2 linked regions of the Saccharomyces cerevisiae S288C genome follow. Changing the gene in region 1 together with any one later gene gives a genetic interaction. Each region holds a gene or a part of one and is shown in the gene's direction. Other genes may lie near its edges. The genes, in order: HKR1 and PTP3.

Evidence for each region.
Region 2: mutations in HKR1 (region 1) and PTP3 are lethal when combined (synthetic lethality), as found in Saccharomyces cerevisiae (one study listed by BioGRID).

The regions. Positions count from the first base shown.
Region 1 is NC_001136.10:1,302,594-1,314,618, forward strand, and holds HKR1 (Hkr1p), read left to right. Parts: upstream 1-3,673; coding exon 3,674-9,082; downstream 9,083-12,025. Other genes in the region: RAD30 (DNA-directed DNA polymerase eta), read left to right, coding at 581-2,479; ARO80 (Aro80p), read left to right, coding at 9,447-12,025.
Region 2 is NC_001137.3:307,913-317,484, reverse strand, and holds PTP3 (tyrosine protein phosphatase PTP3), read left to right. Parts: upstream 1-6,285; coding exon 6,286-9,072; downstream 9,073-9,572. Other genes in the region: ICP55 (aminopeptidase), read left to right, coding at 1-678; MRX1 (Mrx1p), read left to right, coding at 885-2,951; YER076C (uncharacterized protein), read left to right, coding at 3,987-4,895; YOS1 (Yos1p), read right to left, coding at 9,362-9,417, 9,529-9,572. UniProt on the Saccharomyces cerevisiae protein: Major phosphatase responsible for tyrosine dephosphorylation of MAP kinases FUS3 and HOG1 to inactivate their activity; it also has important roles, along with MSG5, in the inactivation of FUS3 following pheromone stimulation.

The DNA.
Region 1 (12,025 bases):
GCAAATACAAAAAGGAACTTTTGAGTTTTACGTATTCTTATGTATTAGAGTAGAGAATATTTTAAAATAATAAACTAAGATAGTGTGTATCAGTTGTTATTTTATATGTGGTTTATGTTCATTTTTTTTACTTCTCTTTCGTTAATTCCATTTTCATTAACTAAATATATATTTGCCTGAAAAACATTATGTGCATGGCCTTCTTTTCTAATTGAAAGGTTTACATACATCAATGGCATGATAGGATGTTGCAACTTTCAATCTAAACATGGTTGCCATATAAAATATTACTCTAAAAATGTACTAAGGATAAAATTAAACGCTACCTAATCCTGCCGATCATAGGATACCTATTGTATGTTCAAGAAGAAGAAAATAGGTTCAAATTAATAGTTCAATTTAAACTTCGAGTCCATTTTACAATATTAGTTTAATTTTGGGCAATTCTTATAATTTCGGATTAACTAAAGTACCTATATAATTATACCTTATCGCGGCGAAAAAAGTATAAACCACTTATTGTAGTCTTCTAGCGCAGGCCTGCTCATTTTTGAACGGCTTTGATAAAACAAGACAAAGCATGTCAAAATTTACTTGGAAGGAGTTGATTCAGCTTGGTTCCCCCAGTAAAGCATACGAGTCCTCCTTAGCATGTATCGCCCACATAGATATGAATGCCTTTTTTGCACAGGTTGAGCAGATGCGATGTGGCTTAAGCAAAGAAGATCCGGTAGTCTGCGTTCAGTGGAATTCCATTATTGCAGTCTCTTATGCAGCAAGAAAGTATGGTATATCAAGGATGGATACGATTCAGGAAGCACTAAAAAAATGTAGTAACCTCATACCGATCCATACAGCCGTTTTTAAAAAGGGAGAAGATTTTTGGCAATATCATGATGGATGTGGATCTTGGGTGCAGGATCCTGCAAAGCAGATAAGTGTGGAAGATCATAAAGTATCACTGGAACCATATAGGAGGGAAAGTCGCAAGGCGCTGAAGATTTTCAAAAGCGCATGTGATCTAGTCGAAAGGGCGAGTATTGATGAAGTATTTCTTGATTTGGGCCGGATTTGTTTCAATATGCTAATGTTTGATAATGAGTACGAGCTTACAGGCGACTTGAAACTGAAAGATGCATTAAGCAATATTCGTGAGGCTTTTATAGGGGGCAACTATGATATAAATTCCCATCTACCTCTTATACCCGAAAAGATAAAGTCTCTGAAGTTTGAAGGCGATGTTTTCAATCCAGAGGGCAGAGATCTGATCACAGATTGGGACGATGTAATACTTGCACTAGGATCTCAGGTATGCAAGGGTATCAGAGATAGCATAAAAGATATTCTCGGTTATACTACTTCGTGTGGTTTGTCTAGCACCAAAAATGTTTGCAAGTTGGCTTCTAATTACAAAAAACCTGATGCCCAAACAATTGTGAAAAATGATTGTTTATTAGATTTTTTAGATTGCGGAAAGTTTGAAATTACATCATTCTGGACCTTAGGCGGCGTTCTTGGCAAAGAACTAATTGACGTATTGGATCTTCCCCACGAAAACAGTATTAAACACATCAGAGAGACGTGGCCTGATAATGCTGGCCAGCTTAAGGAATTTTTAGATGCTAAAGTTAAGCAATCTGATTATGATCGCTCAACCAGCAATATCGACCCTTTGAAAACAGCAGATTTAGCAGAAAAGTTGTTTAAATTAAGTAGAGGCCGGTACGGTCTGCCCTTAAGTTCTCGCCCTGTTGTAAAAAGTATGATGTCAAACAAAAATCTTAGAGGAAAATCGTGCAATTCCATCGTGGACTGTATTTCTTGGCTTGAGGTCTTCTGCGCTGAGCTTACGTCCAGGATTCAGGATCTGGAACAGGAGTATAACAAGATCGTAATACCAAGAACAGTATCTATATCTTTAAAAACAAAATCCTACGAAGTATATCGAAAATCAGGTCCAGTTGCGTACAAGGGCATCAATTTCCAGAGTCACGAACTCCTAAAAGTAGGCATAAAATTTGTCACGGACCTTGATATTAAAGGAAAGAACAAAAGTTATTACCCTTTAACAAAACTAAGTATGACAATTACTAATTTCGATATTATAGATTTACAAAAAACTGTTGTAGATATGTTTGGCAATCAGGTCCATACTTTCAAAAGCTCAGCAGGCAAGGAAGATGAGGAAAAAACTACCAGCTCGAAAGCTGACGAGAAAACTCCGAAGTTGGAATGTTGTAAATACCAGGTGACTTTTACAGACCAGAAGGCTCTTCAAGAGCACGCAGACTATCATTTAGCATTGAAACTGTCGGAAGGCTTAAATGGTGCTGAAGAATCATCCAAAAACCTTTCTTTCGGGGAAAAAAGATTGTTGTTTTCACGGAAAAGACCAAACTCACAACATACTGCCACACCTCAGAAGAAACAAGTTACATCTTCCAAAAACATCTTATCATTTTTTACAAGAAAAAAATGACCTATTCCAAATAGACAATTATATGGCTTCAGCAACTAAAACGTCCTGATAATATTGCTTTTCCAAAATTTCTAAATGATTCACGGGCGCCAGGTTTTGTTGATAAGAAGAACGAAGTACCTTTAATATCTTATGATCGGAAAATACCGACTGATGACTTTTGAGACTTCGCTTTTGATCAAAGTGATAACATTATGTACAATATTCATACTAGGATTTCTTGATAGAGATTTGGAAGTCTATAAAAAAGAAACAACTTGTTATAATTTATTTTTGTAGACATGACTCACAGAATATTACATACCTTCATAATATATAAGATCCATGTGATAATGAATGCTGGAAGCATGATCTCTGACCTCAGCTGATTGTTCAGGGGACTTAATCAATTAGATGCGTTTAAAGCAGGAATTGGTTTGATACACACAATCTCATGTTACAAAGTAACGCTGTTTAAAAACAAATCTGAAGAATAATAATGCAAGTAATATTATACATCATAAAAAAGTTATACACTATCATTACTCTTCTGAAGACCAGATTACAATACAAATTAAGGCAACTTGGCCGAGTGGTTAAGGCGAAAGATTAGAAATCTTTTGGGCTTTGGCCCGCGCAGGTTCGAGTCCTGCAGTTGTCGTTATTTTTAATGTTTTTATTTGGTAGCAACAAAATTTGTCAGTCAATTTCTTTTGTTTTTTTCTTTAAAAGGTGTAACAACGTTATCACTCAAGTATTCGTTTCTTATTATCAAAAGTCTTAGACTTTCTATTAATAGCAGTTTGTTCTTTTCCACAACGCGCTAAAGATATTTCGCTTTCTGACCCGTTTGGTTGCAGAAAATTTTTTTAACTAATTTAGGAATATTTAGATTAGTTAATTGGAGGGCTTATTCAAAGACAGTAGTTACAGCGATTTAAAAGCAGTGTCCCTCGTAGGCACCTGTAGTCATTTCATTCGTTTGGATATTTCGCTGTACTGCTTCCTGCATTGTAATCAAGAGAAAGTTTACAACTTAGAGCACTAACTTTGTTTGTAAACATTTTCCGTTTATAATCAATTGCCATATCATCAATTTTATTATCATTCTTTAACCAGTAACTAACTGATTCCGCACCCACATTATTGAAATTTTTGCGATATCTTTTTCCTCAACTGACGCAGTCAACAGTCAGAAACAGAGAATGTATAAAGATGGTCTCATTGAAAATAAAAAAAATTTTACTCCTGGTGTCATTGTTAAATGCAATCGAGGCCTATAGTAACGATACAATATATTCAACTTCATACAATAATGGAATAGAAAGCACACCCTCATATTCAACATCCGCGATATCCAGTACCGGATCTAGCAACAAAGAGAATGCAATAACATCAAGCTCTGAAACCACCACAATGGCTGGCCAATATGGTGAAAGTGGAAGCACAACAATAATGGATGAACAAGAAACTGGTACGTCCAGCCAGTATATTAGTGTGACGACGACAACGCAAACTTCTGACACGATGTCATCAGTAAAAAAGTCTACGGAAATAGCGACACCAAGTAGTAGCATTGTACCCACCCCTTTGCAGTCCTATAGCGATGAATCACAAATATCACAAACGCTTAGTCACAATCCGAAGTCCGTGGCGGAGTCAGATAGCGATACAACCTCCTCGGAATCCTCAAGTAGCGTAATAATATCCACATCCGATAGTTCAGCGGTACCGAGGGAAATAAGTCCAATAATAACCACAGATTCTCAAATTTCCAAAGAAGAAGGCACATTGGCTCAAACTTCCAGTATCAGTGAAACAACGAGAATTGCACAAATGGTAACCAGAGTTTCACAAATCTCCAGCATAACGGCAGCTTCAACAATAGATGGCTTTAGTAGTGAATCAACACAAACAGATTTTTCCAACACTGTATCGTTTGAAAATTCAGTCGAAGAAGAATATGCCATGAGCAAATCCCAGCTCTCTGAAAGTTACAGTTCAAGTTCAACCGTCTATTCTGGAGGGGAGTCGACTGCAGACAAGACATCTAGCTCCCCCATTACCAGCTTTTCATCTTCTTATAGCCAAACAACGTCAACTGAAACCTCTGAGAGCAGCCGAGTGGCTGTTGGAGTATCCCGGCCCTCTAGCATAACGCAAACTACATCAATTGATAGTTTTAGTATGAGTGAAGTAGAGCTTTCCACATATTATGACTTAAGTGCTGGCAACTATCCTGACCAAGAACTGATTGTCGATCGCCCGGCCACTTCTTCCACTGCCGAAACATCTTCAGAGGCAAGTCAAGGTGTAAGCCGTGAATCTAACACTTTCGCAGTATCTTCGATTTCCACGACAAACTTTATAGTTAGCAGTGCTTCGGATACTGTTGTTTCAACTTCAAGCACCAATACAGTGCCATACAGCTCTGTCCATTCAACCTTTGTTCATGCGACTTCCTCGTCGACTTATATTTCTTCTTCCCTTTATTCTTCCCCATCCTTATCTGCATCCGTTTCCTCTCACTTTGGCGTTGCTCCTTTTCCATCTGCTTACATATCTTTCTCATCAGTACCCGTTGCAGTATCCTCGACGTACACGTCTTCACCATCGGCTTCTGTTGTAGTACCTTCTGCCTATGCGTCTTCACCATCAGTACCCGTTGCAGTATCCTCGACGTACACGTCTTCACCATCAGCACCTGCTGCAATATCCTCAACGTACACGTCTTCACCATCGGCACCTGTTGCAGTATCCTCGACGTACACGTCTTCACCATCGGCACCTGCTGCAATATCCTCAACGTACACGTCTTCACCATCGGCACCTGTTGCAGTATCCTCGACGTACACGTCTTCACCATCAGCACCTGCTGCAATATCCTCAACGTACACGTCTTCACCATCGGCACCTGTTGCAGTATCCTCGACGTACACGTCTTCACCATCAGCACCTGTTGCAATATCCTCAACGTACACGTCTTCACCATCGGTACCTGTTGCAGTATCCTCGACGTACACGTCTTCACCATCAGCACCTGCTGCAATATCCTCAACGTACACGTCTTCACCATCGGCACCCGTTGCAGTATCCTCGACGTACACGTCTTCACCATCAGCACCTGCTGCAATATCCTCAACGTACACGTCTTCACCATCAGTACCCGTTGCAGTATCCTCGACGTACACGTCTTCACCATCAGCACCTGCTGCAATATCCTCAACGTACACGTCTTCACCATCAGTACCCGTTGCAGTATCCTCGACGTACACGTCTTCACCATCAGCACCTGCTGCAATATCCTCAACGTACACGTCTTCACCATCGGCACCCGTTGCAGTATCCTCGACGTACACGTCTTCACCATCAGCACCTGCTGCAATATCCTCAACGTACACGTCTTCACCATCGGCACCCGTTGCAGTATCCTCGACGTACACGTCTTCACCATCAGCACCTGCTGCAATATCCTCAACGTACACGTCTTCACCATCGGCACCTGTTGCAGTATCCTCGACGTACACGTCTTCACCATCGGCTCTTGTTGTCCTGTCATCTACTTCCACATCCTCTCCATATGATATTGTTTACTCTCCATCAACTTTTGCTGCCATATCATCCGGTTACACGCCTTCACCTTCTGCTTCTGTCGCCATGTCATCTACTTCCTCATCCTCTCCATATGATATTGTTTACTCTCTATCATCTTCTGCTTCCAGATCGTCCATTGCTACATATGAATTTTCACCTTCCCCATCTACTTCTTTACCCACCTCTTCTACTTACACATACTTTTCATCTGCTTATGCGTTTGAATTTTCTTCTGAGCGGTACTCAACAACATCCACAATAGCACCAACTCAAATACATAGCACATTGTCCAGGATTACGGATTTCTTACTGCAGACTTCGATGGCAATCCAAAGTATAGTCTCTCAGCAAATTTCTACAAGCTCAACTTTAAATGACGAAATACATTCAAGCGCGCTTTCCGTTTTCAACCCTTCAGCTTCGAATTTGGTTGAAACTTCTCTGATAATTTCATCGACCCAAGCAAGCATAACAAGCCCCAAAAACTCAGCTAAAATTAGTTCACTACAGAGCCAGCTGTCTAGCAGTACAAAAAATCCATACGATACGGCGAACAAGAATACTGAGACCAGTGGCAGATCCACAGTTGTTTCGAATTTCCTATACACATCTTCCGCGGCGAAACCAGACAATGAAAAGTTTTCCGCTACTCCTACAGAGATAACTACAATTTCAAGTAGCTCGCACGCATATTCTTTATCTATTCCAAGTTCTCATAATTCTGTGACTGGACTATCACATAACTTTGTCGATTCGTCAAAAAGTGCAACCTCATTTGGCTACTCATCCTCATCAATATCTTCAATAAAACTTTCAAAAGAAACAATACCTGCAAGTAAATCTGTTTCAAACACACAAGAAAGAATCACAAGCTTTACATCAACATTACGAGCAAATAGTCAGTCTGAAAAATCCGAAGGGAGGAATTCTGTAGGTTCTTTACAAAGTTCACATATTTCATCTAACCCATCGCTCTCCACAAATACAAAGGTTGATTCGAAAAGTTTATCCAGGAAAGTATCGAAAACCATGGGCGAAAATGGCGAGGAAACCGGCTTAACCACAACAAAGACGCAATACAAAAGTTCTTCTGAAACCAGTGGGTCATATTCTCGGTCTTTTACAAAAATCTCAATTGGACCTGCTACGACTGCAGTTCAAACTCAGGCAAGCACTAATTCAGTATTCACAGCCCCTGCCTTGTCTACCTATCCTACTACTCCGTACCCCTCTCCAAATAGTTACGCATGGTTACCTACCGCTATTATAGTGGAATCATCCGAAACGGGCCCCACTACCGCATCATTCAATCCGTCAATCACTGGTTCACTTCCCAATGCAATTGAACCGGCCGTCGCTGTATCGGAACCCATTAACCACACTTTAATTACCATCGGATTCACGGCCGCTTTGAATTATGTATTTTTGGTTCAAAATCCATTATCTTCGGCTCAAATCTTCAACTTTTTACCTCTCGTTTTGAAGTATCCCTTTTCAAACACCTCATCAGAACTGGACAATAGTATTGGGGAATTATCCACTTTTATTCTTTCATACCGGTCTGGGAGCAGCACAACTACCCTTTCCCCAAAATCCATATCATCATTATCAGTTGTCAAGAAAAAAAAAAACCAGCAGAAAAAAAATGCCACGAAGTCAACCGAGGACTTACATCCTCCACAAGTCGACACATCCTCAATAGCGGTGAAAAAGATTGTTCCCATGGTAGACTCTTCTAAGGCATACATTGTATCAGTTGCAGAGGTATATTTTCCAACAGAAGCCGTAACATATCTTCAGCAATTAATCCTTGATGAAAATTCGACTCTTTATAGCAATCCTCAAACCCCACTGCGAAGTTTAGCTGGTCTAATAGATAGTGGGATCCCATTAGGGGGATTGACGTTATATGGCTCTGGAGATGGTGGTTATGTCCCTAGTTTAACCTCATCAAGCGTCTTGGATTCTTCAAAAGGAAATTCCCAAAACATAGATGGAACTTACAAGTATGGAGCTTTGGATGACTTTATCAATTCATTCACAGATTCTGCATCTGCAGGAAAGTATGCTGTAAAAATAATCATCTTTTTGATTGTTTTAACTATTGGCGTACTCTTGTGGTTATTCGTTGCATTTTTTGCTTTCCGTCATAGAAATATATTATTGAAAAGACACCCAAGGAACTGCATAGGGAAAAGCCTCAATAATGAGAGGGAACTTGAAAGTACCGAGCTTTCCCGCTCTTCTTCTGGAAACCAAGTTTATAATGAAAAGCCGCCAGAATCTGAAAATGAAAGTGTTTACTCTGCGGTAGATGATCATTATATTGTGACTGGCGAAAACACAGTCTATAATACTATTCACAGATTACATTATACCATTAATGATGACGGTGATCTATTGTACAGGGACGCAATCCCCCTCGATTTTGATCAAACCAATGGGGATGATGGTTCGGGAATAGACAGTATAGTAAGAGACTGCGTGTATGACAAAAACCAAGATGCTACGGAAGCCTTCTTGAATGATGAGGAGTCCATATCAGGCATTCTAGATGTTGATGAAAATGGTGATATTCGATTATACGACAGTTATTCTGACAATGAAGAGTCAAACAGTTTTCACTTGCCAGACGAAGTTATTGAAAACTATAACAAGAACCATTTGTGCGAAACTAAACTTCATGGACTAGGCACTGAATCATGTACTACAGATGATCCCGATACTGGAAATCAAATTACGAATGAGTTTTCTACAGGGAGTCAGACATGTTTGCCAAGTACCGCTTATACCACACCCCTTCATACAAATTCGATTAAACTTCACACATTACGCTACACAGAATCTTCACTACCAAAGCCAAATCAGACTCTTTTCTCTAATCTTGAAGATTTAGAAATAGAGGATATTGACGACAATGGTAGTGTTTCAGATGTACATATCGAGGAGCTGGATGCTTTAGACGAAGAACTTTATAAGAGAATGTCGAAAGTTATAAAACAACAGAACCATCAAACGACAAAAATATAGCGAAAAATGATTATTGACTGTGCAATAAACGCTGCTGGAAGGGGCGCTTGCAACAAAAGATGATCACAAAAATTGATACCCATTAATACACATAGGCTCACGCCATTACTATTATTATATATATCATCAAGTATTGCATTTGTAATTTTATGAGTCCTTCTTAGTAATACATGAAGGCTTTTTTTTAATATTTTCGGAATCAACGAGAGTACACTATTCTATCCGATGATAACCGAGATAAATGAAGATAGTAACTAACCAATGAAAAAAGAGCGAGAATAAATTAAAGCAATAATATCAAGTTAGTCGTGGGAATATATGATCCACGCATAATAAGGTTACATTAAGCACTGCTTTATCCTCTATGTCTGCTAAGAAAAGGCCTTCGGGAAACGCAGCATTTGAACTTCCAAAACGGAGAAGAACCTACCAAGCTTGCATCAGCTGCAGATCAAGGAAGGTGAAATGTGATCTTGGTCCGGTTGATAACCCACACGACCCACCGTGTGCACGTTGCAAAAGGGAGCTAAAAAAATGTATTTTTAGCTCTAATAAGGGAACTTCGAACGACTTGCCTCCTAATTCGATTAATGCAATAAGTCTGCCATCTCTAGGTAAGAGTAAGCAAGAGATACAAAATGACTCAACGAGCCCAATTTTATCGGATGTACCTTTGTCAAGAAAAGGGATTAGCAGTGAAAAATCATTTAAATCAGAAGGGATGAAGTGGAAGCTTGAACTTTCCTCCATGCAGAACGCCCTAGAGTTTCTGGCCCAAGCTGCTGGAACTGTAGCAAAAGAAGGCGCAAAAGAAATCATAAAAGAGAAGTCCACAACACCGAAACCACTGAAAAGTTCTTTGGATGCGACAAATAAATCTGCTACGGACGAGGGGTTGAAACGACTTTCAAAAAGTGACAGTACTAACACACTTTACGAAAATACAGCAGATATGCTTAACCACACGCTGAATACGAATAGGAAAACATCACAATTAATGGAAGAAATCGGGAAAGTGAGACCTCCACCTACCCGGAAAATTGACGACTTCGATTACATCGGTCCAGATAGCTTGCTTACTAAAGAGGAGGCGATTGAACTCATAGAGGCATTTTTTCTCACGATGCACCCATTCTTTCCCAATATCCCACTTCAATTGCATGATCCGAAAGAATTAGCAGAATATCCAATTTTGTTTTGTGCAATTTTGACTGTTTCTGCTCGCTATCATCCTTTCGATACTTTAGGATTAGACAATGGAGAAGATGGGATGAGACACATTGAAGTTCACGATAAATTATGGGTGTATTGCCAGAAGCTTATATCTCAAACAATTTGGGCAGAGGCTAGTACTAGGTCAATTGGCACCGTGCTTGCTTTCATAATTTTCACGGAATGGAACCCAAGGAGTATCCACTATAAATGGTCTGACTATGCAAATGATCCTGAGTTAAATAATGTCAACGCTAGAGGAAGTAAGAATATTAGTACGAGGAAGGACGAAGAAGGATTGACCGGTGTCGGCGCAATCCGTAGAAGCGACCGAATGTCATGGATGCTGACAGGGTCTGCAGTAAGGCTGGCGCAAGATATGGGATTCATTGAAAACAGCTCAAAAGTATTCATTGTCACTCATATATCTGAGACTACCAGTGCTATGAATATGAATCAAAGATCCTTATTAGCAGAATCATTCAGCGTTTTAAACTTGAATTTAGGAAAAATTGAAAACGATGGAAATGAAAGCAATGAGGATTACCTTGGGAATGAAAAATTTTATCTGAATGAGATTTTGCCTGATGAAGAAAGTAAACTAAGGTGGAAGAGAGTTTTTGAAAACTCAGAAAATGACCACGACAACGAGAAAAATTTTTTGACTGATTGGGAGAGGGAGTTTTTAAACGATGAGTATGTTCTATATTATTCTAATAAAAAAGATGATACTAATCTAGCACAGAATCACATACCACCATTTCCACTAAGATTCTCATTCGCCCAAAGAGCAAAAATAGAGATCATTCGAATCCTATCCATAGCATATGAGACGATTTACTGTGAGAAGAATAAGAGGAAATTGGCAACGACAGATCAGAGACACAACCTCTCTGTCCTAAGTGTTTTTTCTCCCTTGATAGAGGGCTGGCTCAGTAACTACAGAGAGCTTCTTGTACCCCTTTCTGATGTCCCTTTCTCACTAGCAGATAGGAAGAACAAAAAACAAATATTTGATAACATCGATAGAATAAATGGTGAAAGTATTATCACAGATTTCAATTATTGTCAACTTTATATCTTTTCCCTCGCACTGCAAGTGGATGGGAAAACAAGCAGATTGAATATGAATGAAATTGTGACAAGCGCGAGGTATGTGGAATTAGCATACAGATCTGCAAAAGAAATATTGAGTTCTGCAAAGCGAGTTTCAAGGCAAGGAATGCTAAAATACATGCCCGTAAGATGGGTAATACGAATAATTAGATCCATTGCGTTCATAGTAAAATGCTACCTAACACTTACTGGTAGTGAACTGGCAACAAATCCAGATGCCAGAAACATTTTAAAATTAAGTGCAATATCGGTTGACGAAACATTCGATATCATCCGTGACACTGCGGTTACTTTGAAAGAAGCTACACCAGATGAATTACATCTATGTCAAAGATACGCAGCCATATTAATGTACTTATGTACAGAGATGAAACTTCGAAAAAAATCTTACTTAGAACGACCACCCTTATTAAGAGATGGCACCACTCCTCTAGAGAGCAATCGCGAATCCTCACTGGAGGGACAAGACTTAACTAAGAAGCCAATATTCTCTAAACGTATTGGATATAATAAAACCGAGACTACTTTTGAACCCTCGGAAAGGCCTTTGACGGAGGAAATTAATAGCAATTCTCAGAATTCAAATGATACATCTTCTAAAGGTATCGTTGATCC
Region 2 (9,572 bases), on another chromosome or scaffold:
ATATCCGGTGGTTGCGATAAGGACGCATATATCCCCGTGGTCGCTACTGGTTCGAATTCTTTGTGTATCCATTACACAAGAAACGATGATGTGATGTTTGACGACGAAATGGTTCTTGTAGACGCTGCTGGCTCCTTGGGTGGTTATTGTGCTGATATTTCGAGAACGTGGCCCAATAGTGGGAAATTCACTGATGCACAAAGAGATCTCTACGAAGCTGTATTAAATGTTCAGCGTGATTGCATTAAGTTATGTAAAGCTAGCAATAACTATTCCCTCCACGACATCCATGAAAAGAGTATCACACTCATGAAACAGGAATTGAAAAACTTGGGCATAGATAAAGTCTCCGGTTGGAATGTTGAAAAATTGTATCCGCACTATATTGGACACAATTTAGGTCTAGATGTTCACGATGTGCCTAAAGTTTCCAGGTACGAACCATTAAAGGTTGGACAAGTTATTACTATTGAACCGGGTTTATATATTCCTAACGAGGAATCATTTCCATCTTACTTTAGAAACGTCGGAATAAGAATTGAAGATGACATAGCCATTGGTGAAGATACTTACACTAATTTAACTGTTGAAGCAGTGAAAGAAATTGACGATTTAGAAAATGTCATGCAAAATGGCTTATCTACAAAATTCGAGGAGGACCAAGTGGCACCACTGTAATGTTATTGCTAAATTGAGTACACCCTGTATATACAGATACATAACTTATCGATTTAAGGTCTTTTAATATTAAACGGAAAATTCAAAAAAAAAAAAATTTACTGAAAATATCTTGAGATACTTTTCTTCAGCTTTCTTTTTGTTTTTTTCCTCTTCTTCTTGGGCACTGCTCTTTAGTTTTTATTTTTAGTTACGGCAAAATAAAGATGGGTCTAAAAATTACAAAAGGACAGCTGAGAACCAAGGATCTGAATCAATCATCCTCAAAGTCATCGCAGTCTTCAAGAATAGGTGTAGACACTTGTATATTTACTAGAATGCTACCCCGAATAAACACTGCAATTAATCTCACAGAGCATCTGCTGAGAAGATCTTTTCATTCACTGACAAATCTACAGAAAACTCAAGTAAAAGAAAGACTACATGAGCTAGAACGTCACGGTTTCATATTAAATAAAACATCCAAACAATTGGAAAGGATAAATTCTAAGAAAAGAAGACAATTGAAAAAACTGCAAAAGACAGCATACCCCAAGGATCAAGCTTTTCATATTCTTCGAAAATTTCATAAAATAAATAATGAGGCATTAGCAGATACAAAACTGGGGCCAACTAGCCAAAGCGACTTGAAGTTCCTATCCTTAACCAAAGATAAGAGACTCTTTTATACCATACTAGGCGTCAATGGAGAACAGTTACGTGATTCCAAATTAATCGCCAATGATGTTCAAAAATTTTTGAAAAGAGGACAACTGGAAAAAGCTGTCTTTTTGGCTAGGCTAGCTAAAAAGAAAGGCGTCGTTGGGATGAATTTGATTATGAAATATTATATCGAAGTTGTGCAGTCCCAACAAAGTGCTGTAGATATCTTCAATTGGCGAAAAAAATGGGGAGTCCCTATTGATCAACATTCCATCACAATCCTCTTTAATGGGCTCTCAAAACAAGAAAATTTGGTCTCAAAAAAATACGGAGAACTTGTTTTGAAGACTATAGATAGTTTGTGTGACAAAAATGAGCTCACGGAAATAGAATATAATACCGCTTTGGCGGCACTGATAAATTGTACCGATGAAACACTAGTGTTCAAACTTCTTAATAAAAAGTGCCCAGGTTTGAAAAAGGATAGTATTACATATACCTTAATGATAAGATCTTGTACCAGGATTGCCGATGAGAAACGTTTTATGGTGGTACTCAATGATTTGATGAATAAAATACCAGACTATTGTGTCGATTCTAAATTGTTATTTGAGTACTGTGAAGTAATATGTAGCCAGAAGTCACCAAAGATTGAGAAGCAAGGAATGGGACTATGGGCCCTCTGTGAATATTTTCAATTTGATAAGACCATTTTCAAGAAGTATTTGACACAAAGCGATTTTCCTACGTTAGTTCCACTAAGTCATTGGAACATCAATAAGCCATTTCCTCTCAACAAACATGTTGTGGGATTGTTTATGAATTACTGTTTGAAAAACAAGGAATATGATCTTGCTATGGAAATATTTAAGACATTAGAGGCACAGAACAACCAAATGTTAGATCAGAGCATATACCACAAATACATGGAAACTGTCATAACAACGAGGCCCATCACTTGCGGCGACGAGTGTCTGGACATTTATGAACGGGTAGCCTCGTCGGCACAAATCTCAATAACCAGGAGGACGTTAATTTTGGTGTACAACGCATTCCAAAGACAAAGTCTCAAGGCCGTTATAAACAAAGATGCATCAAATGCTGAAGCTACTTTGCACAAGATTCGGGGGTTTATAGATAGCGTAGAGGCCACATACTCATCAAAGTTGAACGGCAAAGTTTACAGGTTTAATTCATGGAAGTTCCTGTTTCCTATCGTTAAAAATCTGAACATGAATGATAAAGTGTCTACAGTGGAACTGAAAAGTATACTAGATGAATACTTGAAATCTTTATTGAATGGTGAGTTCGGGAAGGAATTTAAAGCGAGCATAGAAGACAAGCGGTTTGTTACGTTGGAGGGAATTCGTTTAGTCAAGGTTTTAACCGAGAGAATCAAGCTTCCGTCACTGGACAGTGAGGAAATAGCCAGTTTAAAAGGCACGGAAAGAAAGAAGTTTCTTGCCAGAAGGCACCTTTTGAGGCTGAAGCAAATATTACTGGAAGATTTAGCGGACATTGAAGGCAACTCAAGAAGGAAGGGTGATAGCGAAAATACAAGTACCAGTGAAGAGCGCATCATGGAGGACTTGGCCGAGCTGATACTTGAAACCAGCTATGACAAGTTTTAAGTAAAAATTGATTATTTACTCCTTTCAATATGTACATAGTTTTGAGGTTTTTTCAAATTTTTTTCCTATTTTTTTTGTTAATTGAAAGTTACTGATGATAAATTATTCAAAGGTGGTGTTAATTAAGAATGAAAGTACATCTTCCTATACTATGAAGGAGAGGTTCATATAACACGCGCAATTGGCACGTCTTAAGTATCATCAGTACAATATAGTGGTATGTCAGGTAAATATAACATGTTCAGTGTAACAACTCATATTTTCCACGTATATATTGGATCTGTAACTCAATTGCGTCATTGTCTACATATTGCTTTTAACAGTTTCATTATTCTGTTACTGTTGCAATTATATATAAGCGTATAAGAGATGTGCCTAAGTATACGATGAGAACGCACATAATGTTATTATATCAACTCGCCTGTATATTTTTGTACTACTTGTTCCAACACGAAAATAAACCAAAGTAAGAAGGGTTAGCACCTTTTTTTGCAAGAGAAATCGCTCTTCAACTATTTTAAGTCAATCCTATGAAAAAGGGTTTGCGCCAGATTTCCAGGGACAAAAAAGAAAGTTTTATGTAAGACTAGATTGTGTTGATATCTCGAGCAAACTGTTAACCATTTTAAACCAATATAGTAATAAGTGTGAATAATCGTTCATCTCTAAACAATATGTAAATAATTCTAAAGAACAAAATATTTTGTCATTATCATCAACCTGTGAGCACTGAAAAAAAATTAATTCTAAAATGGTGCTCCATTTGCAAATATTCTTTCTATTTCCCTGACTCCCGCTAATCGGTTTTATTAGTGAAGAATACAGCCGTGGATTGAAAAACAAACTGGTTCAAGTCATTAACTGAAGTAATGCGACCACATCTTATACAAGAGGCAATGCTTTCTAACAGTTTTACATTATTCAAAATCTTCACATAGCCGTAACTTAACTTATATAATAACCGCATATTGGGCTCTTCTGAAAGAACTATTATAAGAAAGATACAAAAGCAAGCAATCAATCCAAGGGAGAAAAATGACCTCAGGATACTATACCGTCTCATTTTTTTATGCGATCTTATTGTTATGCGCATGCACACGTGCTGAGATCTACCTGACGGGCGGTGAAAGCCAGGGCTTGCCATCAGGATTCTGGCAAATGGACGATGATTTGGCAATCGCTCCAGTTTCTATGGTTGAATTTTACCAGACGATAGGATTAACTGCAAATGGTACTGTACCTGAGTCCTTCAACAAGCGTGATGCTACTGAATACCCTAACATTATCAGTAATATAACTACCCAAGCAGCCAACTTCACTCAGCATAGTCTCGTCGAGCAACTTCAAAATGACGTCACGGCAATAAGTATCAGTAATGCCATTAATGTAGCCGTCGATGGTTCTGTGGAAACACCAGCAGACCTGCAATACAACCGCAACCAGGAAACAGGTGAATCTACCCTCTGTAGAGCCAAGTTTTACGGAGTGGAGGTAAGAACTTGGTCTAGGTTGTACAATAGGGCCGTCTCTTCCACAACTCTTACGACTAATTTGAACAGCTACATAGCGCAATGGGTAGCATGGGCCGTTCACGGGAGCGGTGACAAGAAGTTTTGCGGCAGCCAGGAGTTCACGAATATCTTTTTTGATGGGCAAGAGGGTTGGAGTTTGTTTGTCAAGACGTGGTCAACAAACAGTAGCTGTGATATTACAGCCTCTGAAGGAAATTTAACATGTGCAGTTCGTGTTTCAGTATCCAGTATGCACAATCACGGCAAGACAGCGTTTTGTGTTACCTATAGCCACGGTGATTCTTGGCGTGCCGAGCTGAGAGTAGTTGCCAATGATGCTTGGTCCCATTATTATCCCTGGAGTATTGACTGTCCAGAAGTTGATAAAAATAATATGGCTATTAATGATTGTTTTGATCAGGCGCAAGGTTAACGATTGAGTTTCCCATAATTTTTACCGCTCTCCTCTTGGTTGAGACGTATGCGAAAAGCTAATTCGACGTTTTTTATTGTAAAATCGTACACTTTTGCAGGCAATTCTACATATTATATAAGATTTAAGTCGGATCTTGAGACTTTTGGTGAACTTTGAGATGATTGTTGGGATTCCGTTGTTGATAAAGGCAATAATATTATGTATACAGAATATACTAGAAGTTCTCCTCGAGGATATTAGAATCCTTACAATGGACTTGATATTTCTACATAAAAATATTACGATTATTCCTCATTCTGTTTTTTATGTTTCACCATCCAACAGATCTAAACTCATTTCTTCAGGTATTTATAACTTTGATTGGTTCATCTTAGGCATACTCAATCTTACCTTTTTCATGCGTGTAGGAACGAAACTCTAAAATCATCTACGGGTTAAAATTGCTTATACGGAGGTACCCCGTGTTGAGATCCAACACATACAGAAATTCTGGGCACATGGCGCAGTTGGTAGCGCGCTTCCCTTGCAAGGAAGAGGTCATCGGTTCGATTCCGGTTGCGTCCAATGAAATCTTTTTGTACCAAGTTTTTCTCTGTTTTTGTTAGACCGCAAGCGAGTTTACCGAATCACAGCCCACCTCACCCCACAGGAAAACAGCAGCAGAACGGCTGCTAAATGACTATTAACAATAAGAGGTTTTCGGCTACTTTCGCTGCTTGCTCGTTAAATCCGTTCACTGGTAGCGAACCTCAACGACAGATGTCTATGTATGCTATACGTAAAATCACCCCCATTATGGCCATTTTATGTGTCGCCACTGCTACACACCCACCGATGTGTATGTACTTCTAATATCTAACCAGACCAGACCCCACGCTTTTTCTGGCATCTCCTGCTGCCATCTTGGTGTAGTGAGCGGAAACTTTAAACATTAAACAGAATGGCGGCGACTTTGAGATTTGGGCCCGCTGACGCTGAACGAAAAGAAAAGACCTTCATGAAAAAAATATTTTGCGGCAAAACGTCATCGGAGAACACAGCGCAGCGAGAATGTGGTGTTAGCCAGACCCAACAGTTTGCGCACCTGGCATGGATGGATGCAGATAGGTAGTGTTCGATGCGCAAGAGTCCAATCTTCTCCTCGCCATTTGCACCGGCGGATGTAACACTATATTTTCATTGACCTTAGCGGTTTTCTTTCTTTGACATGTAACATCATCACTTCAAGCACAAACAAAGAACTGTATACACAGACCACAAACTTGCATATTATTCTAACATCGGTGTTATAATAGCGTAGGTGCTCTTATCACTGCAAAGTTCATAGAAAATCCGTATTGTATCTCCCTTCTCCATCAGCAACACAGATCTACTTATCATATAGAACATGAAGGACAGTGTAGACTGCCCAAGCATTCTACCCACCGACCGCACTTCAGTGCTTTCCGAGACTAGCACTTTGGTCGGATCGAGTTCGCATGTATATTCGAGGCATGCTCCTATGAACAGTTATCATAACAGCATGAACAGCAACATATACCACAGCCCCAAAGCCAGTAGCCCTTTGGTGAGCTATAAGACATCTTCGCCGGTGTTATTGAAGAGGGCGACCGCTCCTGTCCTGCCAAGCTTCAAGCCCAAGGAACAGCGATATAATAAGCCGCAGGGTTGTTCGCTAATTACTGCTGTAGAACTGGGCAAGATTATTGAAACCTTACCAGATGAAAAGGTGCTCTTACTTGATGTTAGGCCGTTTACCGAACATGCCAAATCCATTATCACAAACTCCATTCATGTATGTTTGCCTTCCACGCTGCTGAGGAGGAAAAATTTCACCTTTTCCAAACTCTTGGACAACTTAACTCCTAGCGAGCAAAGCGTGTTGAAATCTAAACTGGCCATCGATAACCTTCGGATTATCATTTATGATAGCACCGCAAATCAAACGGAAAGTTCTGTTTCTTTACCTTGTTATGGAATAGCGTCCAAGCTAATAGAGTTTGATACTAATGTTAAAAAAACCGTGTCTATACTAATGTGTGGTTTTCCTCAATTCAAAATTCTATTTCCAGACCATATAAACACCAACACATTTAACTCAGATTGCATTAGTTCGGCTGAACCTAAAAGCCCCAAGACAAACCTTATGAACAGTCTACACAACACAGCGCCGCATATGACGGCGACAACACCACTATCGTCTCCGCAAATGAACCTTAAGTTGAAAGTTCCTGACGATAGTAGGTCAGATCATTCAAACTTTTCCAGTTCTCCCTCTCCGCGTAACGTCCTATCAGATTCTCCCATGTCTTCTTCTTCCCCCATATCTGCCTTATTTAAGTTCCAGCTGCCTGCACCACAAACAAACATAAACCAAATGTTCAAATTTTCGCAAAATGAAGAAATAATGGGTTTAGAGACGTATTTGAGTGCAGTCAACATCAAAGAAGAACATGAAAGATGGTATAATAACGATTCTGCCAAAAAATCTTTACAAAACTTCCAATTCCCAAAGAACCAAAATTCTCTAGAAAAGGACACTAATAAAGACAAACTAGGGTTTCAGATCAGATACGAAAACCTGAGCAAAAATTACGAAAAGGAGGTCATTGACTCCGTTATACCTGAATGGTTCCAGCATCTGATGTCAATACCCAAGATCGAGTTGGTTTCTCAGTTTCAAAAATTAGATTTTTTGGAAAAAAGGCGCTTGAACCATTCTGTCTCTTTCAGGAAGAAGGAAAACTCGTTTATACTTGAAAAGCCATCATCATATCCTGAACAGTTAACATCAACTTCTTCTTCAACAATCATGCCTCCAAAATTTCCTGACGTGAACAAAGTACAAAAGAGGTCGCATTCTCAGCCAATCTTCACTCAATACAGTAAATATAAATCGATGCTCAGCCTTGAATCAGATTCCGATTCGGAGTCAGATGACGTTATAATATCATCAGGCGTTGAATTAGGAGCCAAGAACAGGTACAAGGATATTTTTCCCTACGAGCATTCGAGAGTGATTCTAAAAAAAGGTTTGCAATCATCAAAAGGTATCAAGCATTCACATTCTACTTCCGATGGTGGCATCCTCGACAATTATATCAACGCAAACTATTTGTCTCTGCCAAGGTTTTCTGTAGAGCAAAATTCGTCATTTCAAACAACTACAACCACAACAAGAAGAGTGCGCTATATAGCGACGCAAGCTCCAATGCCCTCCACTGTACATGACTTTTATACATGCATATTGAATAATGGCGTTCCGTTGGTTCTCTCATTGACAAATGATTTCGAAAATGGCATTGAGAAATGTTATCGATATTGGCAAGAAGGTAATTATAACGGTATTCACGTTAAATTGTTAGAAAAAAAAATATTAAAGATGCCTAGCACTACTAGCATGAGGAAAAATACTATGGGAACACAAAATAGTAGTTTATATTCAGCTGGTGTTCAGGGAAATAGTAGTAACTATAGTACTGATAATGATAATGATAATGACAACAATAATAATAACAATAACAATAGTAATATTGCTGTTACTGCTGCTGCTTGTGATGATGATGATGATGATGATGATGACGCAATTCTCATAAGAAAAATTCTGCTAACATATCATGATCAAGAGAAACCTTATGAATTGTTACAGATTCAGGTGAAAAATTGGCCTGATTTGGGCACTTTACTCAATCCTATCTCAATCTTACAAGCAATCAATGTCAAGAATCACATAATAGATACACTATTTGCCAGAAATTACTATCAAAACGACCAACTTCCTACCATTTTGGTTCATTGTTCCGCAGGTTGTGGAAGGACTGGTACTTTGTGTACCATTGATTCCATTCTATCCAATTTCGAAATGTTTGAAATGTTGCAGAAAGAGTTTGTTAAATTAAAATACCCGGCAAAGTTATTCGATCCAATTTCATGGACAATTAATATTTTTAGAAAGCAACGAATATCCATGGTCCAGAACATTAATCAATTTATTTTCATTTATGACTGCTTGCTATTTTACTTTAGATTACGTCTTGATGACATAACAGAGAGAACGGATGGTGATGGAAGTAACAAGGACAATATATCATTAAGTGCATTAATTGAACAAATCGAAAAATTAGAGATCTTGCAGACATTCGTGGATGATAAGTTGAAAGAATTGCCACAATAGTTAGGCTAATATGAATGTATTTGATCTCTATTTTATTAATACGAAACCCCTTAATAATTGATATTTTCGATACATATTTGGCAGTAGTTAGCTACGTAACAGAGTATTATTTTCATTTCAAGTTATGCATGAACTCTCTAATTTCACATACCATGCTACCACTACCCTTGGAGGTTTTGTTCATATCTTTTATAATAAAGCTAAAACCGAAAAGGTGAAGGGAAAAAAAAACTATTAGAGCCTGTTTCTTGTATATAGTAGTATGTAATATTTGCTTCGTACGCTTAGTTCATCCCAATAGTAATTCATAAACAATCACCAGTATATTTATTCCAATTAATGGTACTACAAGAATAATATACGAAACGTTAGTAAAATTTTCTCACAAAAGGTGAAAAAGAACGGGAAAAAACTGATGAAATGTAACTTTAACCGTTCTCCATCAACATAACATACTCCTCAGTAATGTCTGTACGGCGCCAATCAATTGAACAACCTTG